Linked DNA regions of Lytechinus pictus. The main gene of each other region encodes a partner of the protein of the gene in region 3 in a complex. Links are inferred from orthologs where the notes say so. Each region holds a gene or a part of one and is shown on either strand. Other genes may lie near its edges. The genes, in order: actin-related protein 3, actin-related protein 2-A and actin-related protein 2/3 complex subunit 2-like.

The links.
Region 1: actin-related protein 2/3 complex subunit 2-like (region 3) and actin-related protein 3 share a complex: the UniProt entries of both Drosophila melanogaster proteins name them as parts of the arp2/3 complex. The link is inferred for Lytechinus pictus from reciprocal best matches to the Drosophila melanogaster genes Arpc2 and Arp3.
Region 2: actin-related protein 2/3 complex subunit 2-like (region 3) and actin-related protein 2-A share a complex: the UniProt entries of both Drosophila melanogaster proteins name them as parts of the arp2/3 complex. The link is inferred for Lytechinus pictus from reciprocal best matches to the Drosophila melanogaster genes Arpc2 and Arp2.

Annotation. Positions count from the first base shown.
Region 1 is NC_087245.1:37,583,789-37,590,848, reverse strand, and holds the start of actin-related protein 3, read right to left. Parts: upstream 3,096-7,060; 5' UTR 2,903-3,095; coding exon 2,859-2,902; intron 830-2,858; coding exon 774-829; intron 117-773; exon of another isoform or gene 1-116. UniProt on the Drosophila melanogaster protein: Functions as ATP-binding component of the Arp2/3 complex which is involved in regulation of actin polymerization and together with an activating nucleation-promoting factor (NPF) mediates the formation of branched actin networks.
Region 2 is NC_087251.1:669,507-677,594, reverse strand, and holds the start of actin-related protein 2-A, read right to left. Parts: upstream 3,059-8,088; 5' UTR 2,205-3,058; coding exon 1,995-2,204; intron 1-1,994. UniProt on the Drosophila melanogaster protein: Functions as ATP-binding component of the Arp2/3 complex which is involved in regulation of actin polymerization and together with an activating nucleation-promoting factor (NPF) mediates the formation of branched actin networks.
Region 3 is NC_087257.1:14,507,543-14,515,048, forward strand, and holds the start of actin-related protein 2/3 complex subunit 2-like, read right to left. Parts: upstream 3,065-7,506; 5' UTR 2,902-3,064; coding exon 2,828-2,901; intron 1-2,827. UniProt on the Drosophila melanogaster protein: Functions as actin-binding component of the Arp2/3 complex which is involved in regulation of actin polymerization and together with an activating nucleation-promoting factor (NPF) mediates the formation of branched actin networks.

The DNA.
Region 1 (7,060 bases), on a different chromosome or scaffold from region 3:
ATGTGTCCATTTCCTTCAGTAAGATATTCATCCATTTCATGCTGCACTCAACCCAGGTGAGGTAAATGGTACCTGGCAGGAATTTTATTCCTTAAAATGCAGTGTGCGTGAAAGCTGCTCTGCTAAAGGCAGAACTCCATTATTGTATAGTATTTAAAGACTTTTAATATAGTTTAAAAAAAAAACAGTAAGTAACCAAATATTATAACTAGAACTACCACTGAAGGTGATTAATACCCCCGCCACACGTCGTTACCAAGGCAAAAATTTCCAACAAATAGGAAAAATATGTCTTGCCTATTTTAACCACAAGACCAATGTCTGAGCTATCATGAGAATTGGTTAAAAACTGATGAAATAATTTGAACCGGAAAATTTGTACCTAATTTTAGACATATAATTTGTTGTTACAATGGCAATGCAATTTTCAACACGTATGTGTCTTGCACATCTTTACCCAATGACCAATTGGTTGAAAACTGAGAAAATGGTTTGATGCCCAAGATTGCAACTGACCGACTGTACACCGATTCCTACATGTATATACCCCCTTCAAACTTCGTTAAGCGAGGATATAACTATTTTTCTTATTAATATGAGCAAAAAATGCTCGCAATACAACAGATATTCCCAGAGAAAACAAAATTTCATTATCAATTCATTTCTTCTAAAGAGATTTATTGATGTTAGAATATATTGAATTGAATATGAATTCTTAACTAAGAAATAATATTTGTATTAATCCAGAATCTGATTTTTTTTTTTTGACTCACCTGATGGGAATATATACTGAGGTTCTGTGTTCCCAGCATATCCTAACTTTGTGTATCTGAAAAAGAAAGAAAAAGTTTTAACAAGTTCATTTATAATTCCATAAATTAATTCATTGGCATAAAATGCCTGGATAATATTAATACTTTTTACCCAGCCAACATGCTTATTCTATTACCAATATATATGCAGACCTGCCAACCTTCTATGAACCAAGAAGGAAAAAAAGTAATTTTTGGAAAAAAAAGTCTTTTTAAAAATTTGTCTCAATGTATGTTCTATCACCATCCTATTGTAGTGAGATCGGTGAAAAAACATGTGAATGACTACTTGAAAACTTGATAATTCACCCTTGTAAACATGTGCTCGTAGGCAAGAATTTACTTGTTCTTTTCATGCAACAAGTTACTGGCCCGACAGTGATTTTTACCAGTCTGGGACTGTCGGACCGGCGCTAGTGTCACGCCCTGTGTATAATACATGCTTCATGATTGGAAATTTTTTTTAAAGTAACAAATCATACAAAAAAGTATTGGTGTATTCATAGCAAAGAAAGAGGAACAAATACTCTGAATAGGGAATGGTTGGCATGCATGTATATGTCTATCCCAAGAAAAGTATTGGAGTTGGTTTCAAAAGTCTTGGTGATGTTTAAAGGGGAAGTTCACCCTGATAAAATATTGAAGGTTTGAAGAAAATCCATTGAAGATTAGGAAAGTTATTGGAATTTCAGGTATTTGATTTGTCACGTCATAAACAAGGAGCTACCCCATCTATGCTATGTAATATAAAATACATGAATTTTGTTCTTTTAATGGTTCGTGATGACATTTTTCTTTCTTTTTAGGACTGGGTGTGAAATCATTTGTGTATTGATATAATGAAGGTACAATAAAAACCATTTTCAAGTTTCTGAGTAAATGACATTTCATTGATTTTTATAACCATTCGATATGTAGGGAAGCTGCTTGCATACATGACGTCACATATCAAATGATTATAATTCTAATAACTTTATTCTTTGATGGATATTCCTCAAACATTCAGCAATATAATATATTTTTACAATAAACATACTGTCACGGTGAACTTCTCCTTTAATGAGTAAGAATGTAAGTTTACACTCAGCTGCTACCTTTATACCTTTAATGGCCATGCCCCCCCCAAAAAAAATTAAAAAGCAAAGGTCTAAATTAAAAAATAACCAATAGATGGCCCACAAAAAAATATGCTCAGAATTAAGTTTTTTAGATAATAAAAAATACTTGTGTCGGCCGATAAATATCATGAATTGTAAAATATGAAAGTGATTTTATGATATTTATTAGCCGATGCAAATATTTTAAAATCCATAATATTTATCGGCCAATGCAAGTATTTTTTTTCTAAGTTGGCACTGCTCATACGCGTCTGTATCTTTGGCTACGATAACAAAGACGGCAGGATGGCGACAATAACATCTGAGAGTATAGCTCATCTTCTTACATGATTTTTCTTCTTTTTAAAAATAATTTTTCGTGTAAAAAGAATTTTATTTTTTCCTAGTGGGGGTAAATGAAGTTGTAGACCATTTACATAAGTTTTATATTAGTAAGTTAAAGAGAACAAGTATTTTGGAGCAACATTGTTGTCTCCAAAATACTCGGTGTGTGTGGGCCTATACCGTCCGTCCCAGGCTCCATGGAAAGTAAGTCTACGTCAGTAAAATGACTGTTACTCTCCAGGCTATCCGAAACAGTCAGTAGATTTTTCATTTCAGTCAACAAATAAGTTAGAACTTAGTTTATAGATTAACCAAGTGAAACGACATGAACGATACTTTCGGCATGCCTTACTTTCTCTCACACAGATTCACACAAAATTTGGCATTTATTTTTATCTTACAAATTATATAGGCAAGTGTGATTTGTTGAGTTTCTTGAGGCTTGACTTTTTTACCAAACACCGACAAGGTTATCGGCCTACTATCGCTACCAACATGACCATCAAATGATCATCATTGAAATTTGAAAACGAAAAGATGGGAGTTGCCCTTTTTCTATCAGATTTTATAATTCGACAATACTATGAGAAGACGATTAACTTACCCTGTCCCAGGATCGATTACACAAGCAGGCATCCTAAAAGCCATGATTTATTTCTAGTTTGATCCACAACCTTCACAAAAGGGTGAATTTCAGGCCACTTCCCGAGCCTGACTCGCTGGAACGAATAACAGTGCACAAGGAACTAAGGCAAGGCGGAAGGCTTGTATTGTGTATCAGATCACATATGCACGCAAAGTGAGTTTCTTGCTTCCTGAATATCTCTTCGTCATCGTAGATGGGGCTATATAAAAAACAAGTTGATGACACGAAAAAAAAATGTGGATGACCCTCATCAGGAAGCCGACAGACCTATGATATATCAAGGAGCACATCCGCCCCGCCCCCTTCGAGAGGCACAAAATATTTTGGGGGGATAAGCTATGCATGCATACGCAAGTGAGGACCCTTTTTATTGTCAATTATTTTCCTGTAAAAAATGCCCCCTCCCCCTTTGGAAAATCCTGCATCCGCCCCTTCATCCGCTACTCGGGAATCGAACCCGAGCCCCCAGATTGGAACGCCGGTGGCTTAACCACTAGACTAGACCATAGAGACGGCTTCGGGTGCAAACCCGATCCGATTGACCATCAGATAAACAGATTCGGGTGTAAATGAGCTTTGAACAAGCCGCCATCCCTCAGCTGGATCAAAGCAAATGATTTGATACAGGAACGAATTATATGATTGTGGGAACGTGTGCATGGCATGCACAATATTCTGGTTTCTGCTTTATTATTATTTTGATATCGAGAGGTTTTAATAGTTTTCATTGTAATATCCATCCATATTTTTTTTATTGTTCGAAATAGAAATGAAATGAAATACTTCGAAAATTTGCTTTGCCCAATTGATCGTGGACCCGCTGTGCAGCGCCAGATCGACGATCGAGGCTCTGTCCCTTTAATCGTTGAACGCCAAACAGGGTAGCAGTAACTCCCATCTTTTAACGTCTTTTGGTCTAACGCGGCCGGGGTTTGAACCCCCGACCTCCCGGTTGTGAGACGGACGCTCTACCAACTGAGCCAATACACCAGTTGGCTCAGTTTAACATCCCCATACGGTTAAAATTGCTAAACAAACCCCGGAACAAACCTTGCATTAGTTATAATTGTTTACTATATTTATTTATTTATTTTTCAACCTGAGAGGGCATATTTGAAAATTAAAGTATTTATAGGGAGAAAAAAACGGGACAAAATACTTCCTGAAGGACAAGTCCACCCCAACAAAAAGTTGATGTTGAATAAAAACAGAAAAATCCAAAAATCATAACACTGAACATTTCATCAAAATCGGATGTAAAATAAGAAAATGATAATATTTTAAAATTTCGCTTCATTTCACAAAACAGGTGTTATATGCACGGTATGCAAATGAGGAGACTGATGACGTCACCCAATCATTTTTCTTTTGTATATTTTATTATATGAATTATTCTAATGTTGTCCTAACTGTCAAGTGAAACAAAATTCCTCCCTGAACATGTGGAATTAGCATTGCTTGATACTATATGGTTCAGTCAAGTTGGTCCTTATTGTCAAATCTGAAAAAAATGAAATATTGTATATTTCAAACAAAGAAACACAAAAGAAATATGGAGGGAGGGACATCATCGTCTGTCTCATCCGAATGTCACTGAATTGTGCATAAGTGCACTTTTTTGCGAAAAATAAGCGCAACTTAAAAAATGTAATAACTTTTTTTTATTTTACATCCGATTTTGATGAAATTTTCAGTGTTGTGCTTATTCTATTTTTCTCTATTTTAGATTTAGATTTATTTATTTCCGTTAAAAAAATGATATAATCGAAGTATTCATATTAACATTTTTCTGGGGTGGACTTAACCGGGTGATTAGGTCTATATTTCTTAAAGTTTTGGGTCAATTTTAACAAATCCACGTGCGCGACATGGTGTGTCTGCATGGCCCCCTTATTTGTAAAAGTTGTATTTTTTTTAAAGTTCCTGCTTGGGTTTACATATATCTGCACAATTTCGGTGAAATGCAGGTATACCGTGAAGATATAATTATTATTCGTTTATCATTAGAACCATTGCAATAATTTCTGACTGTTATAGAGTGGTATAGTGCTGACAAGTTTCATAAAAAAAGCACCCCGAAGTTCTTCCTCGTCATGAGTATTGTTTGACACTGAAAAATTTTCTGGCTAACTTTGCCTTTGATAGGGTCAGGTGTAAATTTCGTCAGAGCAGTGGTGGAAGGGGGGGGGGGGTTGATACCAATATAGAGAGCTGAAAATTCAAAACTGATATGACACCCATCATGACATAATCATGTTATATCATCCATCACGATATTTTTTTTTTTATGCTGTTCATTTTTTGTAATTATCTTGTTGTCATTAAACTTCAGAATTACATTTAGGCTGACCGTGCCTTCAGTTGAGTGAGCGAAGCTAGCGAGCGAATTTTCAGTCACTGTCCTAAACGACTCCCAGGGGAATTTATTATGGGATAGACTTAAGATTTGCCGCGAGCGAGCGACACAGTGAGTGAACCTTGTCGCTTTTCAGACGTTTGAAATAATGCAGGGGCGGCCATCCAGCCTTCGCAAATAGGGGGGGGGGGGCTGAATTTTTTCCAGCCATATTTTCCCCGATCGGCCGCTCGAAGATGATCTTTTGTTTGTTTCTTTGAAGGGGGTAGTCCTATAAGTAACTTGTTAGCTTTATTCTTTCAACATAAATGTATAATATCATAATCCTTATTTTATAATGCCAGCGCGAAGCGCGAGCAATATTTTTTTTAAATTGTATGTATTTTTTCCTAAACTTTGAACATTCTGAAAAAAAAAGATGTGCCTGCAATAATTACTACGAACGCGAAGCGCGAGCAGAAATTTTTGATACACGTTTTGAACTGATCGGAAAGGTAAGCCTACCTGTTAAAGACTGCTTGCAGTTAGCCATGAAGACGTTACATATTTCAACAATCAAAATGCGAGCGCGAAGGGCGAACTGACAAATTTTGACATTTCTACATAAAGAATGGAAAACTTTAATCAATTTTTGTAATCATGAGCAGGATAGCTATATAACTAAACAATTGATGCGAGTGCGAAGCGCGAGCGGAAAATTCTAGTTTTAGACCTATAGAACGGGACACTCTATTCATGTTTTGTAAAACATGAAAAGGATGAGTAAGAGGGGATCTTCCTTCAATAATAATGCGAGCGCAAAGCGAGAGCAGAAAAAGTTTGTATACGTTTTGAACTGATCGAAAAGTGCCTTTTAAGGACTGCTTGCACTTAGCCAGCATGAAGATGTTCAATATTTCAACAATTAAATAATGCGAGCGCAAAGCGCAAGCGGAAAAATTCTAGTTTTAAACCTAAAACGGGACACTCTATTCATGTTTTGTAAATCATGAAAAGGATGAGTAAGAGGGGATCTTCCTTCATCAGTGGCGTAGCTACGGGGGGGGGGGGGGCCTGGGGGGCACGTGCCCCCCAGGTGCCCCCCTGAAAAAAAATGGCAGAGCCAAAAAAAAAGTGAGAAAGAAGAAAAGAAAAAAGGAAAAGAAGAAGAAAGACAGAAGAAAAAAAAGAAGAGGAAAATAAGAGGAGGAAGACGAGTGAATGAAATAATGTGAGGGGAAGACTTGGAAAAAAAAATCCTTCATGTTACTATATAAAATTTTGCTTGCGCTTCGCGCCAGAATTGCCTGTTCGATGAGATAAGATAAGATAAGATTTATTTTATTTATACACGGTTAAAAAGCCCAAACAGTTCACAGACTGATTTCCATTGGGGCCGTGTGGAACATACAATTGACAAAGTAAACATTTTAAAATCAGTGTATAACGAACAATATATATGGAAAAGGAGCATCAATGAAATATTACAAGACAATCATTGAAACGTGAAGAGGAGGGGAGGAGAAGAAAAAAAAAGGAAGAAGAAGAAGGGAAAAGTGAGAGGGAGACGAAAAAGAGAAAAGACAACAGAGAAGATAACAGAAGAAGAAAAGAAGAAGAAGAAAAAGAATAATAATGATAGTAAGAAAAAGACGAAGAAATTATATACCGTTTTCAAAAACATCAATAATTTACAACATGAAATATCTATCGGTAAATTGGAACAAAGCGGTGCATACATGGTAATATTAAATGTGTACATGGTAAAGTAAAATGTCAAAGTAAATACATGTTTCTATAATGGACAAACAAGTACAAGAAAATG
Region 2 (8,088 bases), on a different chromosome or scaffold from region 3:
GTCACTCAAAGTTAGATCCACAACTGCACAAAAACTTCAGGAGGTAAAGAAAATGTGATATACCTTTGTCATGACTAAAAATACATACTCCGTGTTATTACTTCCTTATTCATATTGAAGCTATCATAGGAATGCAGCTTAGCTTACTACCAATAATGAAAGAAAAATAATGCTCCATAGTGCTATACAACTCATCATTTTATCTGACTTCCTTGTTGCACAGATCCTTCCTTTTTATATCACACTTCTCTATTTGAGCTTTCCTATGCTACACTGCATACTTTTTTTGCACAAAGATATTACATGTAAACATCATGAAACATTATCTCAAAATCTCATAGTTCTATAAAAACGTTATTATTTCATCAAAAAGAATTTTCCGTAATTGCTATCTCTACTGCATCTCTATACATAACAAGGCAAACGCCAAGCGTTGTCTCCCTGCATATTGCAGTCATGAAGAGACTGCATGTCAAAACTATGCTATATGACTTAGATGGACCTCTGTTACAAGTTTGGCGATCCCACCTCAAAGCTATAGAAAGTTATTGTGTGTACAACACAGCACAGTGCCAGTCATGGAAAGTTCATTGACCTTTGACCTTAATCAAATTCAACTCACATTTGAACTTGACCTGCACCTTCAAGAGATGGACCTCTTGTATGAATTTGGAAATCCTACCTCGAAGATATAGAACGTTATTGTGTGTACAGCACAGCAGTGCCAGTCATGGAAAGTTCATTGACCTTTGACCTTATTCAAATTCGGCTCACATTTGAACTTGACCTGCACCTTCAAGAGATGGAACTCCGTTATGAATTTGGCGATCTCACCTCGAAGCTATAGAAAGTTATTGTGTGTACAACACAGCACAGTCAGTCATGGAAAGTTCATTGACCTTTGACCTTATTCAAATTCGACTCATATTCGAACTTGACCTGTACCTTCAAGAGATGGATCTCTGTTATGAATTTAGCGATCTCACCTCGAAAGCTATAGAAAGTTATTGTGTGTACAACACAGCACAGTGCCAGTCATGGAAAGTTCATTGACCTTTGACCTTATTCAAATTCGACTCATATTCAAACTTGACCTGTGCCTTTAGGAGATGGACCTCTGGTATGAATTTGGTGATCCCACCTCGAAGATATAGAAAGTTATTATGTGTACAACACAGCAGTGCCAGTCATGGAAAGTTCATTGACCTTTGACCTTATTTAAATTCGACTCATATTCGAACTTGACCTGTGCCTTCAGGAGATGGACCTCTGGTATGAATTTGGTGATCCCACCTCGAAGATATAGAAAGTTATTATGTGTACAATACAGCACAGTGCCAGTCATGGAAAGTTCATTGACCTTTGACCTTATTCAAATTCGACTCATATTCGAACTTGACCTGTGCCTTCAGGAGATGGACCTCTGGTATGAATTTGGTGATCCCACCTCGAAGATATAGAAAGTTATTATGTGTACAACACAGCACAGTGCCAGTCATGGAAAGTTCATTGACCTTTGACCTGTACCTTCAGGAGATGGACCTCTGGTATGAATTTGGTGATCCCACCTCGAAGCTATAGAAAGTTATTGGGTGTACAACACAATTGTTGATACCTACATGTATGTCTCGCTCCGCTAAGCAGGCAAGACAATAAAAACTAATTAAACCAGTGTTGAGTCATAACGGTCATTTTTGCAAACCTGGTCCCAATTGTACTTCCCCAATAAAGACCCCATGTACCACAGAAAAAAAAACTTCACTGGTTTAGATCAAATATATCAAAATAATATTCTACTATTGACATAGAAATTTCACATATTAAATCTTATACCTTACATGAATGATATCCAACTACATGTATGAAAAGATGATTTCAGCACAGGATTTCTCATTTTTCTCTCCTGTTAGGTGCAGGTAACCATATATGTTAAAAAATTCACTCAATCTTTAAATGTTAGCCAGTAAGTTCATAAGTTGATAGAAAATGCTTACCTCAACCATCTTTTCTCTATTCTTGGCTGGATTCATGGGTGGTTCGGTGAGTAGAAGTTTGCTTTCTTTTGGATTAATGGCCAAACTTTGTTCACCAAAGGTATAGTCCCATACATGCTTCATATCGTCCCAATTCCTAACAATACCATTTTCCATTGGATAGTTGACTTCAAGCATAGACCGAAGCTGACTTGCTTCATCACCAACCATTAGATCCTATAAAACAATCCAGAATTATTTACAAATTACAAATTAAATACCAAATCCAATTGATAGTTGAAGTTTTAAATCTCTAACATCATCCTGGTTGATTCATAATGTGTCCTTGACCGAGACTTGTAAGAAAAGACTTATTTCTGGGTGAACAAGTCATCCACTGGGCCTTAAGGAGCCTGACTTGGATTTATCATGTTAACCGTTGTTTCCGGCCTGTGAGGCGGAGGCCAAATGAATGAAACACGTACCATAGAAGGGAATGCATCGGTCCCATGATGTACATGTAATTAAGCATTGAAAGTGTGGATTGGCGCATTGGCATGCTCATGAATTATTCAGAGCAAGCAGTGAAATCCAGGTTCAAAAGGCCTATTGACTTCACTCGTGACTGAAACTTGTGACCTTTTGACTTTCAATCTCACGTTTACCCAGATTTTGCCAGCTCTCTTCTTCAACCCCTTGTCTCGTTTCAGCCACTACTTGGCAAAGAATATTACCAAGTCATGGGGCCTTGTCAAAAGGCTATGCCTGATAGAACACCCTTCAATGTCTTTGTTTCTCATGTTGAACAACAGTACAACACACACACAGTAAAATGTTTGTCACACCAGTCAATTAATGCATGGTTTCTTGAAAGAGAAAGATAATTTCTAATGTTTAACCATCGAATTACAAGATGTGGTCTTGATTTACCCATATTGCATAATGATTCCATCTAAAAGCTAACACAAAAGTTCTTTCCTAAAATTAAAACAAAAGTGACCCCAAAACAAAAGTTTAAAATGAATATATTCTATACTGTATCCTTGTCTTATCCATTAATATAAGGGTTGATTTACAATTAGGGTATACTTTCCAAAAGCGGCTTCCTGCGCATCATAAAATGAAATAAGATTAGTTATCTCAAATCTACAATGGCAAGCTACTGGGCACTATCAAAGTAACCTGTAAAAGGAAAGAAAATTCATGAAATACATGATTTACTTCCAAATTTTTTTTTTTTAGGGCAAAAATTGCTGTCTCATTTTGTTCCCCTTATTGTGAGCCCACACATCTCTTCTATTAGTAATCAATGTTAGGCATTGTTTTACCAATCAAGATTGATTATTGAAATTCTAAAAAGTTATTGCCTATTTGATTTTTGTTTGTGACTTAACCGAAAATGGGGTGCCAATTCTGTCCTCTCTGTAGTTAGCATAGTTAGACATTACTTGATTAATGTTTGTTTTTTGGTATATAAGAATACCAGTACTTGTCCATACATGGGCATTTTCACGGTAGCTGACGTTACATGGCACAATTTAGCACACTTTTCATTGTGTGTATGTTTATCTCTAAAACAACAAATGATGGGAGTTTGCTTGGTCATGTGACCTGAAACTTACTCAGGATGTTCAGGGATACTTAATTACTCTTATGTCTACATGTAAGTTTCATGAACTAGATCCATTAAATTTCAAAGTTATGATTACAATTCTACAAATACCCCCAACATGGTCAAAGTTTGTTGACCCCAAGTGACCTTTGACCTTGGTTATGTGGCCTGAACCTTAGGCAGGATGTTCAGTAATTCTTGATTACCCCTATGTCCAAGTTTCATGAACTACATGTAGGTCCATATACTTTCTAAGTTATGATGACATTTCAAAAACTTAACCTTGGTTAAGATTTTGACGCCGCCGCTGCCAGAAAAGCGGCGCCTATAGTCTCACTCTGCTATGCAGGTGAGACAAAAACTGGAACTGACAATTTAAATTTTTGAATAACTTCAGTTTATAGCCATGTTTAAAATCACAGCAAAACAAACAGCCATGCACACAAAAACCAAACATACACCTGTTCATATAGCACCAATTTGCAAGCTCCATTTTTTAAATATCATTCAAGATTAATAGACAATTTACTTACAAATTAAATATTTCAGAAGTGAATACTGTATAAGCTGTTATTTTCGCGGGGGGTTTTATTTTCGCGGATTTCGCGAATTGCCGATCGGCCGCAAATTTAACAACACGTGAGAATATTGACACACTTCTTAGTCAGTGCCAATGTCCCTAACAGTAAAGCTTTGCTACTGAAGACATCCTGTGTATATAGTGAATTGTGCAGATATGCACCTCTATATGTACAAAAAATAAGGCTAAGAAAGTACAGTTAGTGATTCAAAAAGTTAGCTAGAATTTCACTTTTTTAAATTTCTGAAACAAAATCAGAGCCTAAACTATTTTCTAACATTATTTTATCAATATTTATTCACTCACTGTATTATTAAAATGTATTTTCCATGAAATAATTTGATTTTATTGTCATCTGATTGACTATACACACGTATTGGCAGCTCATTAATATTCATAAGTCACATGACCAGAGCTTTTAGAGGTGAAGATTCTGTTCACAAAATTCCACATTTTTGCACTTTTATCAACTTTTTGAAAAAATGAATCGAACAAAACACAAATTCCAAAGATTGCTTAACCCTATGGATTACAGATCAAACTGTGGCATGATGAATTTTCAGATCTAAAGGTAAAAAAATGAAATTTAAGTCACCTTTTCCACAGTTTGCAACTGTTTTTACAGGGACATATTTTTTGTACAAAACACACATCAGCATATTCAAAAGAGTATCGATTAGTACATAATTTGTATTAGCTTTGCTTCTTTGAAATGTTGTGGAAGTATGTTGTGGAAGTTCTTGCACATCTTCCGATCGCGAATTTAACAACCCGCGAAAATATCGGGACCCCCGCGATTCGCGAAAAATTCTGTACGCGAAAATAACAGCTTGTACAGTATTCAAATGGAAATAGAAAAGATGACATACATGTATTGGTAAAAGAAGCTGTTTTCTTTTGTATATAATCGTATACCATATGATAATATATATATATACAGGGTGCGACAAAACCGCTTGCCCGGGGCAAGTGAAAATGACGTGCGGGCAAGCATTTCTCAAAGTCAATTGCCCGATCGGGCAAGTGGTTGTTTTGGAAATAATATATCAGTATAGACCCTCAATATATCTTTTGGATAATCACAACTATCTCTCAGATTATGTCAAACCAGTAAAAAAAAAGGTGGAAACTGATGTAAAATCACCGCCAATTACCAATAATTTATCGCTAGGTACCTCGTTCGAAAAACCGTGCCATCACATCTTACGTTCTATGTGTGCAATGACTGCGCATGCGCTTCTATCTTGTGCAGTTTGCCGATGCACACCAAAAAAAAAAAAAACCACCAGAAGTGGCTAAAATTTCACATTTTGCAAGAATCCATGAAATGGCCATCTATTTTCCATATTACTTTGAAATTGTTTTGATTTAGTTGGAAACTACTGAAAAATTAAGAATATTCAGCTCTTTCTTTACTCTGATTTATGATGTTACACTCGGTAAATGTTTTTTATTATTGTGTTCCCACATGTAGACTCTCATGGTGTTGACCAAGTGTAAAACGATCAAACGATACGATCAATGATCAATGCTGCAACACCATGAAAAAAAAACCCATGAAAGTCTACATGCTGGACTACAATAAAAAAAATATTGACCGAGTGTAACATCATAAAATGATGAAGAAAAGTCAAGAGAGAGGTGAATATTCTTAATTTTCTTGATAGTTTTCCAACTAATCTAAAAAAGAAATTCAAGGAAATATGGAAAATAAATGACCATTTCATGGATTTAAAGATGCAAAATGTGAAATTTTAGCCACTCCACTTTTCATTTTTTTTTTCAAACATCATAAAACGATCTTTTTCAGAGTCAATAAAGAGCTGAATAATTTTCACTGGCTTTCTTTATAGTTTCCAACTAAATCAAAACAATTCTAAGGAAATATGGCAAACAGATAACCATTTCGTGGATTTAAAGATGCAAAATATGAAATTTTAGCAACTTTTGGTGAAGGTTTTTTTTTTAACCTTAAATTAAGCCCCATTTATAAATAGTGAAAAAAAAATTCAAAATAAACGTGATGACTCAGTCCTACGTTGCCGAAAATAAACTTTTAAATGTGTGTTCTTTTATACTGTACATGATTCTCAATTGTTGTTATTTTGTATGACCTTTCAAAATAAGGGTAGTGCCATCATAATGAAAAAAAAATTATAAAACAAATAGGGCAGTTTTTTCTATCGGGCAAGCAAATTTTTTCATCACTTGCCCGACAGGGCAAGTGACAATTTTTTCTTTTGTAGAGGCCTATATATATATATATTCAAATTAGGGCTGAATCAAAATGTTAAAATGCCATTCAAGTGCCTGCTTAAAGCATATTATCGGTACTGTTTTGTTACTTTAACCATTTGACCGTGTGGCGAAAAGAAATTCATATCCATGAAATGCCCATATATTGTCAATGGAATTATATTTAAATAAGTTGGAAAATACCAAGAAAATTAAGAAAATTCCCTCCCACCTTGACTCTGGAAGATCAATTTCTGATGTTAAACTACTATTACTATATGTATACATGTTGTCTGCATGATTAAATTCTGGTGAAGCCAAGAAAATTTGTCATTCTTACAGGCATACAAATGTATCGAATGCCAGCCAACTGAATATCCAATTAACATGTTATAGAATCATCGAGTTATATGTCCATGTATATGGATTTATGGACTTATAGAGTATATATGGATTTATGATTTGGGTCTCCTTTCTAAACTTACAGTTTATGCAATCAGATCTATTTTGAATCTGATGAGGTACTTTTAAAATTAATTTCCAGAAATTACAAGGAATAATCTTCGCTTTCCTGGTAGATCAATACCAAATAAAAAATACTCGACAGGCAATTCATATGTGAAATTTAGGGACAGTGATTTTCCGTTTCAAAAAATTGCCTTTTCCGTTTCAGAAAATCTCAAATTCCGTTTCAGCATGTCAGAAAACGGAAATTCCGTTTCCCCATAGACTTTGTACACACGGAAAAGTGACAATTCCGTTTACACATTGAATACCGTACACTCGCACTGGTCAAAATTTGTATCTGCTACTGTACCAACAACACAATAGAATCCGTTCTAATCGGATCTATGCGGGTGCAAAAAATATTTTTCCAACCCCATTTAGCATGCATACATCCTCACCTTTCACATTATTACCATTATTTCACGGTGAAATGATATTTCATCGATAATTTTGGGGTTTTTTGGACATCGTTATCATCAGTCAACGGCTTTTGCCAATCCGCCATCTTGGATTTTAAGACCACGATATCGTGCTGTTACATCTTCAAACGTAGAGGGCAGCAACACACGACCGTGCAGTGAACGATATGTGTGTGCATGTGAAGCCCAACCGACCCGGCGCCGGCAGGGTACGGGTACAGTGCGGGGTACAATCAAGTGTGCTGATGTCGAGTGCAGTCACGATGTGTGAATTGTCATGAAAGTAGCGAAGTGAGATCGTGTTTTCTGGGGTTTTGTGGCCATTTAATATTCTCATTTTGTTGTGATTTTGGAGTAATTTCTGTTGCTATTCTGTGTATTTTGCGGGAAAATACGTTTTCCGTGATTTTCCGTTTGAAATGACACTTTCCGTTTCAAAACACCCTTTCCGTGAATTCCGTCCGTTTTCCGCGATCGCGGAAAATCACTGTCCCTAGAAATTTGAATATTCAACAAGTTTTGGAAAATGTTATGACTTAAGTTTACAATTAATTATTTCCACACTTTAGTATCCACTTTCATCTTTTGACCAGTCAATAATGTACTTGCTAAAAATGCTAGGGAATTCTACTTGAAAATGATAAAAATACATGTATGCTTAAGGAGTTGATAAGGGAAAAGGTTTGGAATATGTAGTAATACTAATGTGAAAATGAAAATTCATTAAACTTGAGGACATTTTAAAAGCATGTACATGTACAA
Region 3 (7,506 bases):
TTTAATTTAAAAAACTCCTCGCAACATGCAGACGGCTGCCAGCTGTCTAAATAATACCCTAAAGTTTAATATAATCTAACATTGTCTACCTTCTCCTGCACACACACACTTAACTAAACTATCAACTCAGCCTAGTAAAAGTCGTGGTATGGCAGTGTATCCTATTGCCGGACACCTTTATTTCAGTGCTTTAAAAATGACAACTAGAGGAAATACAATCAAGAAAAATTCACACCCGCTATTCCAAATATTATGAAAATTATGAATATGATAAAATTATTTTATATTTACCAACAATTTTCTTTGCATCGCACTTGCCGCATACCCCTCCACGAAAAACAATTATTTTCGTGCGCGACAAATTACATCATGATTCCGGACGCGCGCCGGACGGGTAAAGATATCCTTGATTATAATGATGTAAGAGCAAATTTGTGTGATTTTTTTCTTCTTATATCATATCATGAGTAAATTCTAAGTATTATTTGTTTTTTTTTATATCGAATCTGAGCAGATGTTGGTAATAAATTTGTGTTTGATAACTTATCTATTTTGTCTTGTTAGCTGCATGTTCCATGGCACTTTCCAATAATAATATGCTCGCGTTCGTATCGTGACGCTTATCAAGTTCTATCGATACGCTGCCGACGGCTCTACTCACGGTAAACCTCGCGCACGGGTACCTTGAGAACGGGGTCCGGACAGCCCGACCACCGGACAGCCCGACCCTGGACAGCCCGACCCGCTGCCCTGGACAACTCGTCCCGGTCGAGTTGTCCAGGGTTGGCTCTGAATCGGACAACTCGACCACTTGAATTCTTCTTCAACATTTCATGAAATAAAATTTCAAACTTTACTTCAAAAGTATTTTCCCGCATAATCCATGTTTCTACAATACATTCTCGACAGAAAATTTAACATATAACATTTGAAGTTCTGCAGTCTGCACCTCTTCTGATAAAGCAAATCAGACCATTTTCAATCTTCACCTGAAATGTTGAAGAAGAATTCAAGTGGTCGAGTTGTCCGATTCAGAGCCAACCCTGGACAACTCGACCGGGACGAGTTGTCCAGGGCAGCGGGTCGGGCTGTCCAGGGTCGGGCTGTCCGGTGGTCGGGCTGTCCCGGAACCCTTGAGAACTAGCCACCGATGATCACCCACAATTCACCACACCTCATCATTCGATCGAAGGAGTGGACGAGATTGAAATTCGGCAAAATCAGGCCCATATTTCCGTTAGAAAATATATCAATTGTTAATACAAAACTACGTTATATGATATTTTAAGCATTTTCTTTCATTTTTAGAGATAATTAGGTAAAAGTTGGATTTTTTGCCTTGTTTTTGCAATCTTGTTCTATGTATTGCTCTGTGAAATCGAATTGCGGAAGTCTTACGGTACAAATTTGTTTTAGAACGCAGTAATATGCGCGTCCGGAATCATAATAGTGTCCGGTAATACAATACGTGACTATACTGGTAGATCTAACGTTAGATCTAGACCAGGAATTCTCAAATGGTGGCGCACCGAGCCTTGTGGAGTGGCGCTTGGGAGCCGGTATAAAAAAAATAAGGAAAAATTGGGGAGAAAAATGTATACCAGTAACATGAGGATTTGGTGATCATTTTAATACAAAAAGAAAGCAAAAAATCTTTACTTGAAACTTAAGTACTTATTGATTTCCTCAAATTTTGTCAAATTTAGCACTCGATAATCCTTATAATGGAGGATCGATGGTGTTCTTTTTATTTATTCTATGCTACAAAGTTTATGTGCCACACAAGTGATTTGAAAGCCCCGCTTGTAGGATTTCTATTTCTACGGCGAGTAATTTTGCATTTCCTGAGTATACGTTTTGCTTAAGAGTTAAATATGAAATGATATGATATTCAAAGGACATCCTGATAATAAAAGATAATGAATTAGGCCATTAGGGACATAACAAGCAGAAACTTTGTTTTCCGAAGCCGATTAAAATCCGAAGTTGTAAAAGTGAAATATGCTCGATGTATTGCCTGCCACGATTGCCTGCATGTACTCTTGTTTAACACGAGTTGTAGAGAGAGAGGGGGGGGGGCAATTTTTGGCGTTAGTGCAGTGCAACGCCTAATTTTCGGCCCATTGAAAATCAGGGACTGTAAATTCAGCCACTGGCGTACAGATTGGGGTGGGGATTGGGGCCCCCTAGTGTTTCAAGGACAAGGGGAGAAAAGGAAAGGGAAAGAGTTGAATATTGTATTGTTTTCTTAATATTATGTCAAAATATAGATTTTTGTATTGAAAAGCTCAACATTTTTGCTTCAGCTGCCATATTTAGCCCCCTCATTTTCTTTTTACTCATTACGCCACTTGCTTCAGCCAATAGATCTGTTGCAGAACAGTCTGAACTAGTTGTTTCATTGGTATGTTGTGAAAAAGTCACTAATCATTTTTCTTTTGATAAATATAATGTGTAGTTTGTTGGCATTCGTATTTCTTCTGTTGATATTAATTAAAGCCCCTCTGGGCAATCTAAAAGGCCTAACATTCAAAAACTTCTGGGGGCTCTGCCCCCTCGACCCCCACCAAGGGCCTCTAGACCCCTTCTAAAATACTTTGCTGGTGTAATGGATATAGTGGCGCACTACAGATACTCAACAAGAAATGTGGCGCTTCAAAAAAAGTAATTGAGAATGGCTGATCTAGACACATACAGATTACAGAGTACAGTCTACGAGCAGTGTAGTTACACTTCCTACAACACGACTCTCTCAGAATGGGACCGTGACCCCAGTGTACGCACAAAGATGGGAGGCAACCCATTCCCAAATCACTTCCTTACTCACCCGGCTACCGCTGCTTCGAATTTATTTAGAAGTGTCTCTTCGATTATTCTATTCTTTATCTCTAATAAAATCATCTTGATGCTGTGTCTCCAGTACCCAATAGAACTTTTCAGATTCTTCCAGCACTTTCCGGGGAAAAAAGGTGTTTTTTCTCAAGGTGGGCGACGCTCGACTTCACGTTTGTGCGAGAGAGAAATAGAAGGAAGTGAAAACAAGTTGTGTTTGCTGCCCTCTACTGACGAGAGGGCGATAAGTCCTTTATTTTTGCTAGGGGGTGATTATAAAGGTTTACTGACGGTTGGTCTAATATCACTTGGTCTAATCGTCAGATGGGCTAACAACATTCAGACTATTATTACCCATGCACTTAGTCCAATTCTCTTTTGGTCTAATGACCACTTGGTCTCATAGCCAATTGGTCTAATGACCACTTGGTCTAATAGCCAAGTGGTCTATAATGACCACTTAAGGTCTATATATAGCCAATTGGTCTAATGACCACTTGGTCTCATAGCCAATTGGTATATGACCACTTGGTCTAATAGCCAAATGGTTTAATGCCCAGTTGGGCTAATCTTCACTTGGTCCATTATTCATTTGGTCTATATTGTAGTTCGTGTAATGTGCAGTTGGTCTAATCCTCACTTGGTCCATTATTCAGTTGGTCTAATGTGCAGTTGGTCTAATTTCCATTTCGGCTAATTTCCACTTGGTCTAATTTCCACTTCGGCTAATTTCAACTTTGTTTAATTTCCAGATAGTCTAACATTCATTTCGTCTACATGCCACTTGGTCTAATTTGTAAAGTTTAGTGACTTGTTATCAATTTTCTGGTGAAAATCTTAAAGTTACTTTCCGCGCGCCGGCTTCGAAGCTTCACACGTGCGCCCCTCGATGTTGGAGTACAGTTAGAGTGACGACGGTATATTTCCATCCCCAAATTTTGAAAATATGGGGATTAAAAAAAATATTGGGGGATTTTCTTTTGTCTGTTAATGGGGATTTTTTGAAGGTTTTGGTGAAAAACAATAAAATTTTCTATTTTTCTGTGAAATATTAAACGCTAATATACGTTCATAGAGGTGGAAAAATAAGGTTTTAAAATTTCCTGATAATTATTCAAACCCATTCCCAGTTTCTCATGTTTTCTAAGATGATGCAGTTGATTACGTATATTGTTTGTTAATAGCATGTATTATCATTTTTAATCATATGTACCAGTACTTGTACTGTAGTAAAAGAGGCTACACTAAAAAAAAAGAACACCATAACCTGTCATTCAATAAATTGTTTTGATATATATACAACAAAATATAACAGAGTCTGACGGACTATCGTGCTTTCGACTTTTGGGCCGATCAAAATTTCCTGATTTTGCCCTCATTTATATGATTTTCCCCTGATTTGAGGTAATTTCCTGATTTTTCCCTGACTGGAAAAATGTTTTTTAAAATCCCTGATTTTCTTGATTTCCCTGATGGGCTGGGAATTAACCCTGTCAATCCATTTTAAGGAGGAGGAGAAGAAGAACAAACAAAAAACAGAATGGCCCGTATTCTGAAGTCGGGTTTAAGTTAAACTCAGGTTTAAAGTTGTGGTTTAAGTATGGGAATAGCCAATAGTATCAAATTTGTCATTAAGTTGTATGTTTCTTATGTTTACTGTGCTCTTTCCTGATTCATCGATGGTGAAGCCAATAATCTTTTTATACTTCCTAGACAATTACACATGTATGAATTATTTGAGAGCCAAATGAGCTGAAGTATGATATCTCTACAGTTAGTAATTTATGTAACAATTGGCTCGCCATACTTAAACCACAACTTTAAACCTGAGTTTAAGTTAAACCCGACTTCAGAATACGGGCCAATGAGTAGATAATGACTGACTACTGTGATGATAACTGATACAGGCCTGCAAGCGTAGACTATACTATGTTATTACACGTGACCACTTATACGAAGAAGGTTAGAATCGAGAAATGGCTGCTACCAAGATGGAACCCAATAAACCTGTATGTGTATAGTGTTATTAAACTATATCTAACTGGTATAAGAGGCATAAACATGTTAACCTGATACGTATCCACACAATCAATTGCATTATATTTTCGTTCCTTTCTTCATAATAATGCTATTCTGATGAAACCCCGCCATTCGACCATTATAAGAAGCTATAGTACAAGGTCCCAACTTATATTGTTCTGTAAAATGTACATGAGGTGATAATGATTATGAGTTTGATATAATTTTCACCATCATCTATATAATCGATATACATGTATAGGCCTAATTATGAGAATTATATTTGATTAGAATGATTCATTGGAATAATTCATCGATAGTCCTCCAGCGCCCACCAGCCCTACCCCGCGGCTCTACCCCTCCGGATCCTGGCGGCATGTATTAACTGATGCATGGTGTATTTATTTATCCATTAATATATTTGTTAATTCTAGATCAAATGAATAATAATGAATGATGTTATATAAGAATGAATGGACAGTAGACCAAGTGTGAATTAGACCAAATGAAAATTAGACCAAGTGACGATTAGCCCAAGTGGGCATTAGACCATTTGGCTATTAGACCAAGTGGTCATTTGACCATTCGGCTATTAGACTAAGTGGTCATTAGACCATTTGGCTATTAGACCAAGTGGTCATTAGACCATTTGGCTATTAGACCGAGTGGTCATTAGACCAAGTGGATATTAGACCAAGTGGAAATTAGACCAAACGGTCATTCGACCATATGAAAATTAGACGAAATGAAAATTAGACCAAGTGCGCGGGGAAGTAGACGAATTGGATATTAGCCGAACTGGTTTTAGACGAAATGAGTTTAGACTATGTGAAGTTGGACGAACTGATAAGTAGACTAAGTGGTATTAGACCATCCGATAATTCACCACTCACCATTATAAAGGCGACCGCACACCTTGCGATTGGTCTGCGACTCAATTTTGGAATAAAACGTAGCAGAATTCGATGCTAATATTGAGACTTGGAATATCTTACTGTGTAATATATGTTCGAGATCATCGTACGAATCCCTATATTCAAATATGTGACTATGCTATCATCCTTAATTCCTAGAATGTTTAATAACGTTAGTCGTAATGACGTCATAGCAGTCGTACGATTTGCTACGATTTGAAACAAATTTGGCCTTTAAAGGCTTACAATCTTACAAAATGGTTATATTGGTATTCTTTCAATTAATTTTAACCTCAAATAAAATGACTTGTTCCATTCACATTTTCAGAAAATGAGCAAAATGCGATTTGTTCCAAAATCGGATCGCGAACAGTCGTAATGTGGTCTCAATGAACAAGAACATGAAGAAGGGAGAGAGGTAGGCCCTACTTCTTCTTCTTCTTTGCCTGGGTATTGGGTCTGCTGCCCAATACCCCCACAGTTTTTACTGGAGGTGCTGATGTAAATTTGAAAAGTAAAAAAAAAAAAAAAGTTTTCACAACAACATATGGAGAACAAAGCAAAAAATGGGGATTTCACTACATTATTAAAAGGTAATTTTGGTTATATTTTCCACTTTTAAACATCTTCCGGACAACCTGGGGGTGCTGCCTCTGGAGAATAATACACGCAGCACCCCAAGGAAAATGTTGGGGGTGCTTCAATGCAGCACCCCCAGCACCCCCCGCTTCCCAGGGACATGGCAGGAAGTGCGCAGATGTTGATGGCGCGGAGAGAAAAGATGCGTTTTAGTCTTTGCTCTTCCTCGTACAATTTACATATAATGAATAAAATGAGCCCCAATTAAAAAAAAACATTTTCAATGTCTCCTCTTAGGGAATATTTCTACACGGGGGGGGGGGGGGGGGGGCAACCTAAATGTGACCTCATATTTTACACGACCCAGGCATGCAGACCTAGACTGTCTTATTCCTTCTTTCGTCTCCCCCTTTTTTTTTTGCTTGATATTTGTATCATCTTAATGAATTTCTCTATAACAGTCAATAATTCCCCCCCCCCCGATCTATGAATAATAAATAGAAGATCGCACTTTTTCACTCACATTATATCTTACTGGTGCACAGATGGGGGGGGGGGGCTTGGCCCCCCCCCCCCACAAAAAAGGTCACGACCAAGAAAAAGGGAGAAAAGGAAAGAGAGAATCTGAAATATGATATCATTTGTTTAATATTAAGTCAAACACTACCACAAAATTGATTTTTTGCAATAAAAATGTTAAAATTTCGCTTGCTTCGCCTTCTCATAACTTTGTATTAATTTTACCCGATACGCCATATCTTGTCCGCTCAAAATTTATGGCTCATTACGCCTCTTTTATGTTTACTTGATAAATGAGATACGTGTCCCCTTTTCATTAAGGTTAGTGTATCACCAATTTATAGGATTTGCATCCTGTTTATGACTATACGCAAAAAATTAAATCCTTAAAATTTTTCTTTTCCAGGTCTAAACATAAAAAAAATTCAGCTAGCGCTCTAAGAATTATAAAGATAGTTGTTAATGTTTTAAATTATGAGTTTATGCAAACAATCCTTCAATAGTCCATTTTTAGGTTAACATAGGCCTATGTCAGTCCGTGCTTCATGGTCTCATATTGTTTGGTTAGATAGCCGACCCATCGTGCTTAATAATTACAAAATTTATACACTAAAGAGCATCTTCTGTTTTCAGGTCTATGTAC